Drosophila melanogaster: one gene and its partners. The protein of the gene in region 3 interacts with the protein of the main gene of each other region in a pairwise test. Each region holds a gene or a part of one and is shown on either strand. Other genes may lie near its edges.

What was found.
Region 1: the proteins of CG31111 (region 3) and Gycbeta100B interact in a two-hybrid assay, tested with the Drosophila melanogaster proteins (one large-scale study listed by BioGRID).
Region 2: the proteins of CG31111 (region 3) and obst-E interact in a two-hybrid assay, tested with the Drosophila melanogaster proteins (one large-scale study listed by BioGRID).
Region 4: the proteins of CG31111 (region 3) and mil interact in a two-hybrid assay, tested with the Drosophila melanogaster proteins (one large-scale study listed by BioGRID).

What each region holds. Positions count from the first base shown.
Region 1 is NT_033777.3:31,132,566-31,137,451, reverse strand, and holds the start of Gycbeta100B (guanylyl cyclase beta-subunit at 100B), read right to left. Parts: upstream 3,061-4,886; 5' UTR 2,784-3,060; intron 51-2,783; 5' UTR 1-50.
Region 2 is NT_033779.5:5,762,026-5,767,774, forward strand, and holds obst-E (obstructor-E), read right to left. Parts: upstream 4,118-5,749; 5' UTR 3,991-4,117; coding exon 3,936-3,990; intron 2,247-3,935; coding exon of another isoform or gene 1,573-2,246; exon of another isoform or gene 1,435-1,572; intron 1,344-1,434; coding exon 649-1,343; 3' UTR 528-648; downstream 1-527. UniProt on the Drosophila melanogaster protein: Chitin-binding protein that is important for the longitudinal contraction and lateral expansion of the larval cuticle during its conversion into the oval-shaped puparium case. Essential for survival to the second instar larval stage.
Region 3 is NT_033777.3:25,054,557-25,057,812, reverse strand, and holds CG31111 (uncharacterized protein), read left to right. Parts: upstream 1-1,635; 5' UTR 1,636-1,715; coding exon 1,716-1,778; intron 1,779-1,928; coding exon 1,929-2,675; 3' UTR 2,676-2,737; downstream 2,738-3,256. Other genes in the region: stac (staccato), read right to left, coding at 1-188, 631-713.
Region 4 is NT_033777.3:27,910,455-27,914,316, reverse strand, and holds mil (milkah), read right to left. Parts: upstream 1,871-3,862; 5' UTR 1,750-1,870; coding exon 1,517-1,749; intron 1,452-1,516; coding exon 1,328-1,451; intron 1,264-1,327; coding exon 1,035-1,263; intron 976-1,034; coding exon 890-975; intron 836-889; coding exon 656-835; 3' UTR 532-655; downstream 1-531. Other genes in the region: CG5003 (uncharacterized protein), read left to right, coding at 1-279.

The DNA of each region.
Region 1 (4,886 bases), 6.1 Mb from region 3:
TGGCGTATTTAATTCACTTCATAACGAATATGTTCAAACGCATATCACAACTGAAATTGGACACCAGAATTCAATATTGATATTGCAATTTATTTCATTTTCGCGATTCGTCCGTCCGCCGTACGACTTACACTGCTCCCCTGGGAGCGCGACAATGAAAATGTAATAAATTATATTTGTTTGCCCAACCGATATGACTGCTATGATAAACAGAAAAAGTGTAATGAAATTTACAATGTAAACGCTGCGGTTTGCTCAATAACGAGCGGAGCATGTGAAAGTGAAAATATATGAATATGCTTTATCAATGAAGGCGTTGGAGTGTTATTATTATTATACCGCTACCATTTATGAATATTTTATGCGATACCGAATCGGGCTTGCTTGCTGCCATTCCATGATTATTTCCACTTTTTAATCTTTCAGGCCAAAATACGAAGGCTAACTTCAAGCGCCTATTTTAATCAAATATTTAAATGAGCGCAAACGAAAAGTCGGGCCCAAGTAGCCCGGAGCATTTCCCAAACTTGGCAGCTACAATTTTTAGGGCCATTTCAGCTGCCACGCTGTTACATCTGCATTTTTGCGGGCTATACAGCGGTGTATGTACATATGTGCTGTTTGTTGCATGCCACATGCAACACGTGCGGAAGGCACAACACACCGATGCACCAATAGAAAGGCACACCAACAACCCGCAGCTCAGCCATCAACTGGGTCACAATTTAGTCGAGGTAAATGGGGGCTTGGAGTCCGCTTGGCCGAATCCATGGATGCCCTGAAAGTTTCCTTACTAATGACAAAGAAAATTTTTGTGAAATAAATTCTAGCCCAGAATTCAAGGAAAAATTATAAATTATTACTTTCCCAATTCTTCACATAGAATAATATTTTAATCTTGAATAGCCGAAGAATGGAGATTCCTTGAGTATTTTTTAAAAATCGCAGAGTAGCGCCAAAATGGCAGAATGGCGTTTTTAAAACAAAGCTACAAAGGGTGCATACGTCTGGTTAATTATACAAAAGTCGGGCCAAAACAGGTAACGCACACACTTTTGGCCAAGAAATTTATGCGCCACGACGAGTGCAGGGCAATTAAGGCACTGCGAACGTTGAGTTCTCGCGGAGTTTTTGGGTTTGGGCTTGGGAGTTGCCCAGGTAATGGGTCGCCTTGGGGCAGGATTGGCATAAGCGAGTGGAGCACAAAATGGCAGCCCTGGCCGGAAAAGTTACCTCCAATTGAAAAGAGGAAAACTTGGCCTGCAAAGCAATGATAAGTTACACGGAGAAAAGCACAGTGAGTTCGGCGAGCCGTAAGGGATTTCTACCTGCCAGCCGGCAATGCTTTAAATACTTTAAACAAACCAGCCAGCGGAGCGGAGAAAATATCGATTTTCGCCCATCTTGGCAGACATTTCTGTAGCCCATTAGGAGCCCGGTCATAAGATATATGAAAGTATACACGAGTACAATGTGTACATGCCTGTTGTTCGTTTGGCCATTGGTATGTAACTGCTAGACTTTTTCCACCCCATGTTTGCTCACTGTGATTGCCAAATAGGGAATATTAATCAGGAGAGCATTCCACCGGCAGTACCTATTTGCGAATGACCTCGGGGCCTCTGACATCCTTCCAATTGAGCGAATTTTAATTACGTGCAGCATTTGGCATTTTGATAACGGTAAGGCACTGTCAACAGAAGGTCCTTGTGCTATTTTCGTGCCAGTCGAGAGAGAGACAAGAGTGTAAATAAGTCTCGATTCCCAGGGCTTTGCAAATTGTTTGGCCAGGCTTATTGGGTAAGGGGCCAAAGTTTCTTCGATGGGGCCATTTGTCGCTGCTATTTGGCGATGACGGGCACGCCATTTGATAATTGCGACAAAATGACGCCGCTGCGAAAGTAAAAACAAAACGATATTTACTCGGCCCAGTTGAAAAAGTCCCCTTTCCTTTTTGCCCAAAGGCCCGTCGTTCCGCCTGTCAATTTAGCGCCAAACTGACAATAACTGAGTTAATGATGAGCCTGCCATTAGGCCGGCGCAAAATGAGGCACAGTGCACACAACATGGCCACGGGACGGCCACAGGATGTGGATGCCGTGCTCTCCGCAAAAGTTGAGTTTGTACAGTGAAAAATAATATCATAAAGTCATCAGCTGGCCGACCAAAAAAATATTTTGCTGCCTGATCTACCTGCAAATAAACGTTGGGAGAAATTTGAAAATATCCTATAGTTGTTAACAATTATTTATCCATTTATTTGTTTGGTTAAAGCAATTAAAGCAACAAACTATTAGTTTTCCTAACAACTTATTATCACATAGGCTCATGAATTTAAACCTTGCTTTTTTTTTGTACAGTGCATCTTTTGGATAAAGGGAACTGAGCGGAAAATGCGGCAAAAGCAATTGTACATTCAACTCGGTGTCCGCCCGGGCATTTATCAAATATAATGGTCATTCACTATCGTCCGACCAACTAAAACAACTGTCAGCAAATTGCCGTGGGCACGCAAAGCTAAATGTCTAATAAACTTTGACATATTGAGGCAAATATTTCTATTTGGCAACTTTTGCAGACAGAATCGCAGAACCTCATAAATTAAGGACAATGATAGCGTGAACCAAAATATCCGTCCGGGAACAAAAATAAATTAGAGCGCAGAGAAGTATGCTTTAATATCCGGGGCCAAGTGGAATGGCATTGTGTGTGCGACGCATTCGCTTATGTATGATTCACAAAAAAACAAAGCATGTGTGTGTGTGTGTGGGTGGATAATTTACATTTGTTTGAGCCGCGCGATTCCTTTTATTGGACGACGATTCCCTCGGCTTTTGTTTATTTGCAACTTGTGATTTATCTGTGTGTTTGCTGCTTTTTTTTTAGCTTCTTTCTCCGGGGCCTGCTTTCACTCGCGCAATAACTTTCCACTTTCACTGGCCGACTCGTATGATAAGAAACGCGAAACGCGCGCGCGACTTTTCCCAAGGAGTTTTCCCAGTCCGCTACGATTTTGCGCCGCACTCTGTCCGCCGGAGTGAACAATTCGCCTGAATCAGCCGTCGACGACTGAGCGCTTCCTGCCGAAGGAGCGCCGTATTAAAGGCGGCTCGCAGGACACTTGTCCGCTTTTCCTTTGTCGGCTGCCACCCACTCAGCTGTTTGTTGTTGCTGGTCGTCGGGAAAGCTTTTCGAAACCAGAAGCTCGCTCTCGAGCTCTATCTCGCTCTAGCATCTGCTGCTACCTGCCAATAGATGGCGCCTGGCTGACTTAAAATAAAAGTATATAAACAAAGGTTTTCAGTATAGGTGGTAATTTGTTGTTTAATTTGAATAAGCTAATTAGAAATTATTCATTTATCCATTCTAATAATTATAATAAATATAGTGATCATAATTAATAATAAATCATAAATATTAAAAACTATATATATGTATATAAGCAGATACATTTTTGAAAGTCTAGAAAGCATTTTGTGGGCCTTGTAGTTTTGATTTGTTGGATGCGGATCAAATCACCCGCTGAATTTTTACCGGCAAGTGTTTACTTTGCATACAATTTTCCAGCGTCACCTCGCACCAACTTCCGTTTTCGGCGTTATTTATTGCCATTCTTATTTACCTTCCTGCTGATTTCTGTAACTTTTCGCCTCAGTCAATGGCTCACGCATAATTTACCTACGACAATGGATTTTCGGGCAGCTCCAGTCAAGCAGATGAACATTTCGGCGCTCCAGACGCAGCAAATAAATTAGAGACACTTGCAGTGCAAACGGTAAACAGAAGTGCTCGTATGGTACGGTAATTGAAATTGAATGGGTGGGCGGTCCGTGGTCGGGTGGGTGAAGGGGTGACAAGGTCGACCAATGGGGCGCACTGGGGCGTGGCTAAGCAAGCACCTGTTAGCGACAAAACACCAAGGCAAACCCACTCGGAAAGCCGCAACACCGGCCGTTGCAGAGTGCATCAATCGGATATTCATGTGCGCTTAAGCGCCGCATAAATTAATTACTCTCCGCAAACATAATTAAATGCATTGTCCAAGTTTTAATTGTGCTAGCTTTTGGCGCCGTTTATTCGCGGATCGCACACTGGTCGAAAGAGCACCCGCTCACTGACAGGACATCGCTGGCGGTGACATTGAAGGAGGAGCAGGAGCTGGCAGTCAGGAAACCAGGTATCATAGTGAATGCGCTGCCTGCAGACTGTCAAAGTCATTGTCACTCTGCCGGGGGCTATGGCTCTAAACAATCACAAAAACTACGCCGGGATACCCCTTGCCCTTTCACCCTTTTATGGTTACCATGAAACCAGAGGGAAGTCTAAATACTGACAACGAAGTTTCGAATACCCTAAGGTACAAACTTAAAAATCAAAATATAGAGAGGTGATAAATGTTTTCAGCTTACAGAAACGTTAATTTATTTTATATTTTAAAACAACTTTAGCTCAAGTTAAAAAAGTTAAAAAAGGTACTTGAAAGATTACCGAAGACTCGAAGACCTTCTGTTCTGGACACTTGTGGTCGTAACTAGTCATCCTTTTGATTCAGTTTCAGTTGGGTGGGCACTGGTAAGGGAGCTGTGGATAACCGCGAGTTAAAAGAAGCCAACTCATCGAGAGGTCCTGCCAACATTGTGCTGGGGAAATGGACCGCGTACGTTGCAGGAGAAAAATACGTACAGCCCCTGGACTTTAATCAAGTTCAGTTGCCAGAAGATGACTATCGGGCTGGCATTTAATTAAGAGGCCGAAACGAAGAAAGGGTTACCAAACTTTGCTGGCATCTCAATTGCTATTGCTGCACACGCCATCTAGAGTCTCACGAAAATATTCCATTCTGTTTCGGTTTTGTTTGTTTTTTTTTTTTTTGTTTTTGGGCGGTG
Region 2 (5,749 bases), on a different chromosome or scaffold from region 3:
TTTAAGCAGTCCTAAACAATTCTGAACGAAAATTAATTGGTTACTTAGTGATAAATGCAGAATAAATGTTTTAAATCAACAATACGAAATTCGAGCTTAAATTATTTCTAAAAAAACATCGTAACTGCGGATTAAAATTGGTTCTTAAAAACAATATTTTTTTAATAAATGAAGACGTTGTAAAAATTATAAATGAAGTGAAGAAAATGACCATGATGAGTTCGCAAACAAATGCTTAAACGTGTGGAAGTGGTTTGCCATCTTACTTATGTAACATAATATAAGTTTAATTAATCTACCGAGTACTAGTAAGAAACCTATTATTAATAACTAACACACTAAATTCAAAAAACGTAAAATCTGAAACTGATAATAAATTACAAACTCAAGAAACCAAATGAAGTTGTTTAAATTTTCTTATATACTTTAAGAAATCTCTTCTCAAAAGTGAAAGAACATCGATTTTTACCACTACAAATTTTTGAATCCCCAAAAGATTAAAATTATCAATTTAAATCCTTTTCTATATAGATTACTTATTTATTCATTGCATAACCAATAAGCAGTTACATATCTACAGCATAATAATTATTGCACAGGAAGTGTACGGGTAGCAGCCTCTGAGATTCCATCGGTTTCTCGAAGGGCCTAGTCCTCCGGCTGAGCCACCTGGGGCTGTTGCTTCTCCGCCTTCAGGCGCTGCTTCTCCTTGAGCAGGGCATAGCACTCGGGCACCTTGTTGTAGAAGTCGCACAGTTTCGTCTGCGAGTTGAAGGCCAGATACTTGCCGCAGTTGTACAGGCGCGGATGTCCGTTGACGCACACGAAGTACTTCTTGCAGGTCTGGGGATGGCGATAGTAGCGCAGCTCACCCTCCGGGCTGACATCCACGGCGGCGGCAGCGCTATCATCGGCGGAATCGGCGGCGGGGCAATTGAAGCCCAGGTACGCCTCGGCGTTGCAACTTTCCACTAGATCGGGCCAGTCGCACTGGTAGGTCTCCTCGTTGAACGCCAGGCCCTCGGGGCACTTGGTTAGGCTGGCCACGCCGTGGGCGCAGTTGCGATAGACGCCGCACTTGGTCGCATCTCCGTTCGGATAGAAGCCGAACTGGCGGGGACACTCCTCCGTTCCGTTGGCGGGCTGCAGGCGAGCCCTCTCCTTGCAGGTGGAGTACGGGGCGTATGTGCACTCTCCGGTCGCCTTGGTGCGCTGGTGGAAGAGCAGGCCGTCCGGACACAGCTTCTCCACGGGAGTACCATCCTGACACTCTGTGTAAGAGTCGCACTGGTCACCCGATGCAAATCGTCCATTGGGCGTGGGGCATTCCGGCGAGCCAAGAGCTGTAATTACAAAGAAATCACGCATTTATTAGCAAGATGTCATATAAATGAAGAGCTAGATTATTTATTGAATAAAGCTAAAGTGGTTTTTGTTTTTCCTTTTTTTTTTTTATTTCGACGCGCAAAATGTCAACAATCAGTTTGCCAAATTCTTTAACTACAGACTAGAAAACTCGAGCAACCTATCGCCATATGGCATGTGCATGGGAAAAATCACAACTGGATTGACTTAGTTCTTCCTGGCGTGAAGACGAGCAGCCTTGATTTGGGCACCCTTTTCACGGATGGCACTGCTGCAGTTGGGCACGTTCTCGATGTCGTCGCACTGGTTCAGCTCCTGGTTGAAAGCCTGGTCCTCGCCGCAGCCAATGCGACGCGGACGTCCCTCGATACAGATGAAGTACACCTGGCAATTGTCCTGCGACGGGTGGAAGGTGTAGTCAGCCTCCTGCTCGCCGAGCAGCTCAGATCTGGGTGCCGGCGCTGGGCAGCGGAAGCCCAGGAAGGCCTCGGCGTCACAGTCCTCCACCTGATCGGGCCAATCGCACTTGTAGGTGGCCGGATTCCAGGCCAGACCCTCGGGGCAGTCGAACACGAAGCCACGGCCCGCGGCGCAGTTCATGAACTGTCCACAATGGCTGGCATCACCCATGCGATAGTATCCGAACTGGTGGGGGCACTCATCCGTTGGCTGAGCGGCCTGCAGGCGGGCCTGGCCCTGGGTGCACTCCACGTCGATCGGATAGCCGCAGGGGTAACCCGTGGACTTTTCGTTGTACAGCAGACCGTCGGGGCAGAGCTTCTCCTCGGCCACTCCGTTCTTGCACTCAATGTAGGCATCGCAGGATCCGGACACGGGAGCAGTTCCATTCGCCTCCTTGCATGCACCGGCGGCGGCGGCAGCTGGAAGAAATAGCGTACGTCGGTTAATATCGATCCATGGGATTGCGTTTGCTAGCTTACCTCTAATGAGTTATGATGGGAAACTGGCTCTTTTTTATTTTTTGTTTTAACTATTTGATACGTACTTTATGATCAACGACAAGTCGTGGGATTGCCGTAGGGCAACATTCCACTTGACAATGGATTTTCTCGTCTTCCCGCGATATTACATACACATACCCGGGTATTGAAACTTTAATGACTTTGTGGGCACATACCCCGGTTGTTGAACCCGCGAATATAATTCAAAGATGTTTATTTAATGCGATGTAACAGAAAAGAGTTTAAGTGGTAGACAAGTGCCAGGGACTTTGATGAAGTGATGGTAGTTGTTTTAAGTTGTTTCAAATGTTAGTATATAGTGGGATTGGGATTTTAGGGAATTTTTTGGGATTTTTAGGGATGCATACAAACCATCGCTTATAATGCCATCTAATTTTAAAAGCTGTGCTAAAAATCTTTTCATATTAAATCGTTAAGGCCCTATACTCGAGTGGCTGTACTATTAAAAACCTGTTACCCTATTAACCAGTTTAAAATTCAATGGACACATTTAGCTGCTGTCACTGACGTCATTAGTCGCTTTTTTTTAATTTTACGCCGATCAATTTAAAATCACACAAATTTATTTAAAAATGCTGGTTATCTTGTGAATGTTCACAACGTTAACGATTTGTGTGGTTTTCATTATTTTTTTTTGCTATCCTATTTGATAATTTTAAAGCTTCAACCAAAGTAACCGGCTTTTCCCTATTTGAACCCAAAAAAATTGAATCCATAAACATGCAATTACTTTTCCCATATGTGTTCAAATAGATTTCGGACAAAACGTGACGTTCATCTCGAAATCTGATTCGCGACCGTTGGTTTTTTCGAAACCTGACACACTGAAGATTATGTCGTACTGAATCGAAAGAGGTGCAAACGCGCTTAAAGGTCACAACAACCGGCTGGGCACGCACCGAGATGGATCTGTCGCCTCCAGCTCCCCCAACATGTCTGACCGCTATCCGCGAGATAAACCCGTTCCACACAATGGACCGACCATTGGTGCCAGGCAAAGATTATGCAATAGCCATGTTTCTCTGCCCGCTTCGGCGTGTGAATCAAATTTCTGAAAAGGCTGCCTGCTGACCTTGAAATATCAATGAAATTTCGGTGGGATTTTACATATTAGCCATCACGTTGGCAATAATTACTAGCTTTCTTTGCATTTCTCTATAAAACATTTACTTTAGTTACTTTGCATGAAAATTCGCGTAATTTCCTGCTATTGTGAATCGAATGAGTAGCAGTTTTACGCGTTGTAAAAGTGAATAATTGCACATATGTATGTAGTTTCATCCAAACGTGGGACATACGATAATGTGGGTCTTGGCACTTTTTTCTATGAAATACGAATTTGTTTATATAGGAAGCAATAAGAATTAACTTTAATTCGTTTCCGCACCATTGAATCTTTAATTCTTCAAGATGAAATGAGTTAAATGTGTTAATGTTTCCTGAAATTTTGTGCTGACGTACATATATGCAAATGTTTGTGTCACCTTCTCGAACTTTTCGCCACTATAGAGTATAGCACCAGAAAAGTTTGTGACCAAAGTCATTTGTTTTGCGAAATAATAGTATTAAAAACTATAGTATACTAACCCATTGAGCCAAACATGGCAACGCACAATAGAGCACTGATTAAGATTTTAGCCATTTTGTTTAAATCCTCTTGTTGTTTTCGAATGGCAATGTGATCACTAAAAGTTAAACTAAGGAAGAGCTACTGCGATGCTCAGCCAACGAGCTGACAATTTCGACTGTTTCGCGCTAGAAACGCAACGCAGATATTAACTGGCAACCTCACACTCGAAGCTGAAGCTGCTCCGGCTGAAGCTCTTTTGGATGATGATCATCGGAGCGAGCCGAAACGTCGCCGGAGCTTGGGGATCTTCCCCTGCTGCCTGGTGGGGATTCGCAACAGCTTTTGCCGCCGCCGTCGTAATCTCAGCCTCACTCAATTGCCATGAAAACAAACTTGTCAATAAATAACGAATAAACGAAAAAGACATTCGATGGCACAATATTTCGACAGAAATGAAACATTAATGCAACTGCGATTATAACTTAAGTTGACTCTCCAACCACATTTTGTACATGGAGATATTGATTCTTTCATAATAAGATTTCTTGTGGGGATTTGTTTCTGCTCATAAAATTGTCAGATTCCCGAAGAAAAAATGAAGAATAAATACTTTCGACTCACTTTCGTTCGAGTTGAGTCAGTTCATCAAACCGGAAAGCTCTGCGTTAAGTTTCAGTTAGCAACTGTTTTAAATATTAATCAACGAAGTTTGTATCTAATTTATGTTCGATTTGATTTCCATATTTCGCACTTTTGTTTTCGGTGAACAGCCAGCCGAAAATGAATAAAAACCAGAAAATCCAACATAAAGTCAAGGCCGACTGCGCCCATGAGGCCGTACCAATCACGAAAATCTGACAATGATCTTGGTATTAGGCCTTAGCTTGGGCTGTGGGGATTTTTAAAGAACCAAAGCTTAAATTAAGTAATGAGACAGAAAAACGTGTTTAAGGCATCGAAACAAATGAAATTTGACAGAGATATCGTACGTATACCCAATCGACCATTTGTTTTAAATTTGTGGTTAAATTTATAGACTTTTATATTGATTTTTTTTTCTTCTTTATTTTATCGTTTTTTTTTTTTTTGTGTAGCTTTCCTTAGGTTTTAGCTAGTAGTCCATGCTCAGCAGAGTTGCAATTACCTATTAAAACATTTTTATTTGGACATATGAGGCGTTCTTGAAATATGTGTAAATCTAAATTTTACGATCAAGGACTTCTAGTCAAATTAGTTATAAATCCTAATAAAATTAGATGACAACTTAATTAAAAGTATTCTTCATTAAACAAAAGAAGTTAAATAATTGGCAGGCTGTGAATCATCAAGAAGACTCATTCAATAGGAATTGTGACATAGACTCAAGTTATAAAAAATAATCTATTTCGATATATAGTAAACATTATAGTTTAATACATTGCCCTTCGGTTTTATTTATATACATACAAAAATATGCTGTATGCATGAACACACAGCGTTGCCAATTTAATTGCAAACTAAATAGTATTCAGCTGCTTGATTAATGGACTTACAAATAATTTATGTTTATCGTTTTGTCTAAGGCACTTTTACACTTTTCTTTACATCATACAAATATATTCTTTAATTCAAATTGTTGTATTCTAATTATATTTTAATTCTGCTCTTAGCTACATTTTCAACATTTTTATTATGTTTAGTGATATTTTAGTCTTACGAATGGAAAATATGCAATTAAATCAATTTTTGAGCGAAGACTTGATTTGCAAACATGATATCAGCGGAATCAAGGCTTATGTAATTATACAAACACCAATTGTTGTATGTTGTTCCCAAGTCACATCGAAAACGT
Region 3 (3,256 bases):
TGGTGCACTCCGAATCCTGGCTGAGTTGCAAAGTGCCATCGGGACTCTCGTCCGAATCTTCTTCTCCGCCGCTGCCATTTTCCTCCAAGGGAGCCAGTGAACTTTTGAGGACGCCCTCATCGATTTGGGACTTCTGCCGCAGTAGGGATCCAAACTTTTCGAAAAATCCATCATCTCCGTCTTGCAGTCTGCGGAAAAAGTGCAATTAGTAAATAATTCGAAAAAAGTCATTAAATATTATCTGCACTGGCTAGTCATCACTTAATGGGGATTTCATTTCGATTAGGGATACTCGTACTATGAGCAAGCTTATGTAGATGTATTTGAAAGCCCAGTGAAAAATACCCTAAAACTGAGTCATGTTTTAGTTGCGAGTGGGTGGTAAAATCGATCTGTGGCTTCCCCCACTCCCTTACATCACTTGCCATTCCTCACGCACACACGTTAATTTCACTTGATAATCTTTAATTTATCTGATGACACAGTTCCAGTTCTCCAAAATGTTCATATTTGTCTAGAGAAATAGAAACACACATTTCGGCTCGTCTGGCGAACAAATGTTTGTCTATCGGTGAGTTTTCAAGTTTTCTACAGGTATGCGTGAGTCTGTATTTTATTCATCCAACTTACTGGTGTTCATGCTCCGTGGGTGGATTCATTTTGAGCTCCTGCAACTTGAAGAAGAAGCCCTTCCACATCTGCTCCTCGTCCATTGTGATGTTGCGTTTTTAGCTTCAGAGGCACTGAATCGAAATCGGAATCCAACAAGTGTCACCGGAGTGTAGAAACATACTAACGGCTTATTTGCACCGAAACCGAAACGAACAAACGATGTGATTCATTGCCAAAGCTGCTCTCCGACGTAGATTTTTCTCAGTGGTATTCACACGCTCTTCCCTACACTATCGCAAACACATTATAATGAGCTATGGATGTTTGTAGTATCTAACATTGGGCGAAAGTGGGGAAATGGGAAGGAACGGGATGATACATACAGACAGACACCTGTTGCCATGGTGATCGGACGTTTTTTCTAGCTCTCATGCTAATGATTTTAAAAACTTATAGTTTGTAACTCTTGAAATTGTTGAATGAAAATCCATTAAGAAGTTACCAATCATCAATGGTTCTAATGGTGGTAAGCCTCACGCACACCTGTTTATGTACATATACTCTTGAAGGGCTAGGTGTTGGTATTCTTGTAACTACCTTTGCAGACTGGTGCTTCCATGGTCAAACTACGCACTTTAAGGCACATTTTCAGATGCCAAGCTAAATTATGTGCGCAACTATTTAACTACTTTAAAAACATACCTTATTTTTTCAAATATCCTTAATTCCGAGCGCCGGAAGTAACTTTTTAACATGATTAAGTCCTTTGCAAGGTCAGAATGCCAGATTGAATTAGGCTAAGAGGATTTGCAAATCCATTAGGAATTTCCTTAATTTCAATTCGAATTAACGTCTCCGTTTGTTTTTTTCGCACCCTTTAAAACTTTATTTATATCTTTTAAAATAAACAAAGATTAGATTAGATCAGTTTTGTTTATTAATTTGGTATGTAAGATATACCAACATAAATGAATCTACCGAATACCGTATTTCGATAACTTACGAATGGCAGCCCTGCAGTCCGATAATCATAACAAACCCACGGCAATAACAACAAACAAATCGTATCTCTTGTTTTTGCTGAAATTATAAATTAAAAAGCAATGAATTTAAAGTATAAGCGGCGCTACGAGAGCTTAAAACGCTCCGTCAAGAGTTATCTACTGGTAAGATCTTAGAAACTAGGGCGAAGTTATGCAAACTTAAGAGTATTTACAAGAAACCTTAAGATTCCTACTCACATATATGTTTACATTATAGCATAAAACATTTACGGGAAGTTATATGATCTATTAACTTTATAATACCAATTTCAGGAGAACGCCGCCCTCACGGATGAGATCTGTCGTCTGCAGGCCGAACTATCTGTGACCCGATCCCAAAGACTTTACTTGATAGAGCGCCTCATGTTTCACGAGGGCTTGGAGAAATCCAACAGTGGACGACCCAGTGTCTCGAATGGAAAAAACGACGCCGCTGAAACCACAAAGAAATACAGTCCTGTAGTTTCGCATAAGAACCCCGTCGAAGATAAGCCAAAAAATGTTACAATTGTACGGAAAAAGAAGCCCATGTTTCCGATGAACCTAAATAATGTATTACTCCACTCACTGGGCGAGATTATATCAGTGAATCCCAATTTTCACACTGAGAGCTGGATATATCCCGTGGGATATGTGGCCACACGAATCTACGCCCATCCCAAGGATCCGCGCAAGAAGTGTGTGTTCACATGTAAGATTTTAAATAACGCCGGGATTCCTCAGTTCCAAATAATACCCGACAATGATCTGGATGGAGTTTTCTTCGGAGAAAGCGCCAATATGTGTCACATGGAGCTTCTAAACTCCATTCAGCGGTCTCCCTGCGTTAAAATTAAAATACCGTTCGACGTACAGGGCGAGGTTTTCTTTGGCTTGTCAAACCAAAAAACACAATCGCTGCTTATGATGGATCCTGCCTTTCATCAGTGCACGAATTTCAAGGGATTCGCGGTGCAGAATGTGCAGTCCTTAAACAGCGCGTCTTTATCCTTTGAGACGCTCCAGGGATTTCTATCTTGATAAGATCTGTTTTTACTATTTGATTCTCGATATAAGAATAATAAGTTTATAATATAAAGACGAATTTTATTTCTCTGATACAATCGTTGCGAGAAGTACTTAGTTATGTACCTAAGTATGTACCTGGTACATGATACGAAAACACTAAAAACCCGAAACAGCTGATCTGTTTCAATTCCATCTCGTCCGTTTCAAAATATACTTTCCAGCTGTATAATACGTTATAATACAGTTTAAAATATTAAATTATTACGAGTGTTTGGGACAGATTGGTTAACAATTTCCAGTTAAATAGATAACATATTATTCTAAAAACTCTTTGTCCCACTTCCGCATGATTCAATGTGCTAAAATCATATGTTTTATGTGGGCATTCGCGGTTATTTCAAATGAAACTGTGCATTTGTACAATTGTTGTCAACTATCGACTTTTCTATAGAAATGCCGAAAAAAACAAGCTGGCAACCTGCCGAGGCAATCGGAAATACAACCCTCGAATCGAAACATATGTACACAACACCTATCTGAAAAGTATTAAACAATATTTTGGGAAAGTTGTTTTGGCTAGCGTTAAATTAAAC
Region 4 (3,862 bases), 2.9 Mb from region 3:
ACAAATCATACCCTGGAGCACCTGGTGCAGTGCTCTCCGAATCTGGTGTATATCGATGTTAGTGGCACCAGCATTACGCTTCCGGCAATTCGGCGCTTCAAGATCTCCAAACCGAAATGCGAAGTGGTCGCCAATCACTTGGAGGAGTTTGAAAGACTTCCGGAGCTGGAGACACAGGAAGAGGATGACACGGTGGTGGTGATGCTGCAGCCACCGCCGCGCGCCGACGACGAGCAGCCACCGAAATCGCCACCGCCACAGGAGGTGGTGGCTCCTTAGAATATTGTTTGTAAAGATTCCGTCGAAGTGGGCCGTGCTGGATTATTTTATTTTTTTTTAAGAAAAAAGACGACATGGCCAAGCCGATGGATCCACAACGCTGGCTACAAGCGAGTGCTGTAGCTCAGCCATCTAGTATTACGTTTGACTATTCGAGTCCTTGTAATATATACACGCCAGGCTAAACGCACTGTATAAATCAAAACCACAATTCAATTCCTTTAGCTAGGCATTAAAAAGAGCGCGCGAGATCCTTTTGGTAAATATGTATAATGAAATGTTTATTTGGTTGGTATGTAGTGGGTAAGGACAGGCCAATAGTTCGGTGACTCGAGTTAAAAATGTATGTAAACTGTATATAAGCGGTGTAAAATGTTTACTTGTCGACGCCATCCTCCTCTTCGGCATCCGACTCGTCCTCGGTATCTTCCGACTCGGTCTCCGATCCGCTGGAGCTCTGACAATCGGCAATCTCGCCGGTGAAGAAGATCACCGCCTTGGGAATCACGCGCTCCTTTAGATAGAAGCCCACCTCAAAATCGTTTTGCAGCATAGCCTGTGGGAGGAGATGCATGTGAAAGGATCGCAGATCGCTGATATTCAATCTTACATTGACGTCACAGTAGTTGGGGTCAAGGGTATCTTCTGGCAAAAGCGGCGGCGAGAAGAACTCAAAGAACGACGGCTCTTGATTTTCTGGTCAATGAGTGAATTCAACTAACATCTGTGAAATTTGATGCTCCCAGATGGCTTACCGGTTTTGGTCTGGTCCTTGGTCTGCTTCCAGTCGATGACGCAGCCTTCGCACTTGTAGATCTCGGCGCCATCATATGCGAGCGGATCGTCTGGATCCGGCAGGCAGTTGAGGAAATATGTCTTGGTCAGCACCGTGTTGGTAAAGTAATCATTGGGATCGAAGTGGAATTCGATATCAAACTTCACCACGGGTTCGTTGTACAGCCGAGAACGGATGTCGCTTAAGCACTGCGCGGGAAAAATTTCAATTAAAATTTAAATATCCTTCAAATCGGATCTATCCATAACATACCTCTAATATTTTCTCATCCCTCTTGCTGATGAACTCGGTGTACGATGCTTTGAGAACCCTCAGCCAAAAGTTGGGCACGCTCTGATTGGTTTCCACGTCGCCGTGGTTTTGCTTTCTAAACTCACTGCACCGATGGGATTTTTGGGGGAATTGAGATCTTGTTTAACCAAACACCATTAATGGACTTACTCTAGAATCTTCTTGCGCTTATCAAATATGATATTGTGCTTATCCTCGTACTTCTTCTCGATATTGTAAATGTCGCGCTGCAGAGCCACATCCAGGTTAATGGTCTCCAAATAGAGCTGCTTCAGTTCGGTAAGAGTTTTCTTCTCCTTCTCGGTGAAGTTTAAATCCGATTCCATCTTCGGTGGAGCGGTGTACTTCATCCGCGGAGGGTTTCGATTTCGCACAGTTTCCATTTATGTTTCGACACGATAATCAAAAGAAAAATAAAAAAAATATTTCTTGAAGTGATTTGGTTTTGTTCAAGTATAAAATTTGGACGTGTGCGTTTTCGCTGTGACTGCCGTTGTGGGAATGAAAAGTAGCTCTATCAGTTTCCCAAAACTCCCAGCACAAAAGGCAAGGCCCGCTTTTCACTAAAGTGCTGGAACTAACTAGATGTACTAGAAAATATTAAGCAATTTATTATTCTTTTTTTTTAAGCTACATTTTTAAACCCTCGTGTTATTGCTGTTTTAGTCACCCCTTTCGCCTTACTTTGCCCATTGAGATGCAGGCCATGTTTATTGGCAATTTAACGCACATTTAATTCCTGCTCTTTTCCTGTTTATATATTTTTGGTTTCCCCAAAATTTTTTGTTTGCTTCCGCCAACTTTTCATTTGGCATGTAATTAAGTGTGGGCCAAAAGCTTGGACTGGGTGCCGCCAGCCTGGCCTAAGTGTATGCAAATCACGTGCTGAGTGCTGTGCCGCCAAGGGTTCAGGTTCAGCCATTGCCATCGCCATCGCCATCGCCATCGCCTCCTGGAGTCTGTTAAATGGACCGTGGACCCAGTTTCTGGTCTATCCGAGAGTCGCTTGTCTTTTGTCGCTGGTTTTAATAATGTGGGCCAGGCTTAGTGCCATATGTCCGGCTGTGAAAAACAACAGAAAAAAGTGAAAAAAAAGAGTGAAATTGTCGCTTAGGCAAACATTTCAAAATGAAATTATGAGTGGGCCAGTGGCGGCGGGCGAAAAAAAAGTGTAAACAAATTCAGCCAAGCGGAAGTCCAGACACACACACACACACACAACAACGCACACACACATCCGCCAAATGAAAGCCGCAGAGGATAAGCGGGAAAAGCGGGAGATCGCATTGTTGTGCGCTGTTGAATGTTTGCCCACAAATACAAACACACACGACACACGGCACATGCACTTGTCCAGTCTCCACAGGACATCCACCACTCGCTGCTCTCATATTTGATATTATTAAATTTTTTCCCTAAATACCGCTGGGAAATTAAAAAGAAATCATAACGCAAATAGTGTAAGGCAGCCAGGCATCTGATGATGACGGCTCTGGCTGGCCAATTTCCACATTTGTACGAGTGTATGCCTGCACTGTGCAAAATAATTGGTATGTATATATATTTCACGTCATTATCATTAGCAGGAATGGAATATGCAAGATAGTTAGGTATTAATCCAAATGAGATGGAAATCGATAGTTGGGAACTAATCAAGATCAACTAATCAAGGACTCTTCAAGTGCACAACCATTTAAGCTATTCGGGCATTTTCAATTTACATTTCGGTCATTCAATTAGGCGGTGCATAAAATGTAGCTACATAAGTAATGGAGCAGCCCCATCATCATCAGCATCATCAGGATCATTTGGAGGAACATGGGGACCATGGCCATCACCCACGTGATTGCCGCTCGTCGGAGGTCGTCAGTGCCGGGAGCGTCAACATAGTTTGAATTTAATTAAAACCAAAATTAGTAGAGCCCAGCAGAATGGAATGGTTTGGCGCAGCCCGACCAACCGGAGCAACAGTTACTTGGCGCAGGGATTAAAGCTCCTGCTTCAGCTCCTTCCTGGCAAAAGTGCATGTCTGCAGAAAATCGAATCAGGAGCTCAACATCCTCATCCACGAGCCAGGCAACCTGGCAGCCTGGAACTCCTACGTTTCCACCTGCTCCTGAAACTGAAGCAACGGCGCCATGCCGAAATATCTGCAACAAAAGCATAAGATGTAGTGCGGCATTTGATGATGAAACGACGTGTTAATTAAGGTCATAATAATTCAACTTAAATTGAAAACTTGCCCGGCCCCAGAAACGCAACCATGGCAGGGCATGGCACTCACTAACCATTTTTGGTTGGTCGGGCATCGGGCATCGGGCGAAGGGCATCGCATCCTCGGAATCCTGGCCAGGCTAAGCTGATTGCAACAAATTATTTTGCACCTTGGTTGAACTTTCCTTGAGCTGCAGGCAGCATGGCGTTCATAAACGAATTTTGTTAGTTTGCTTTGCTTATTTTAAATGGAACTAGGTGGTGGCCAGAACTCCCAGGATC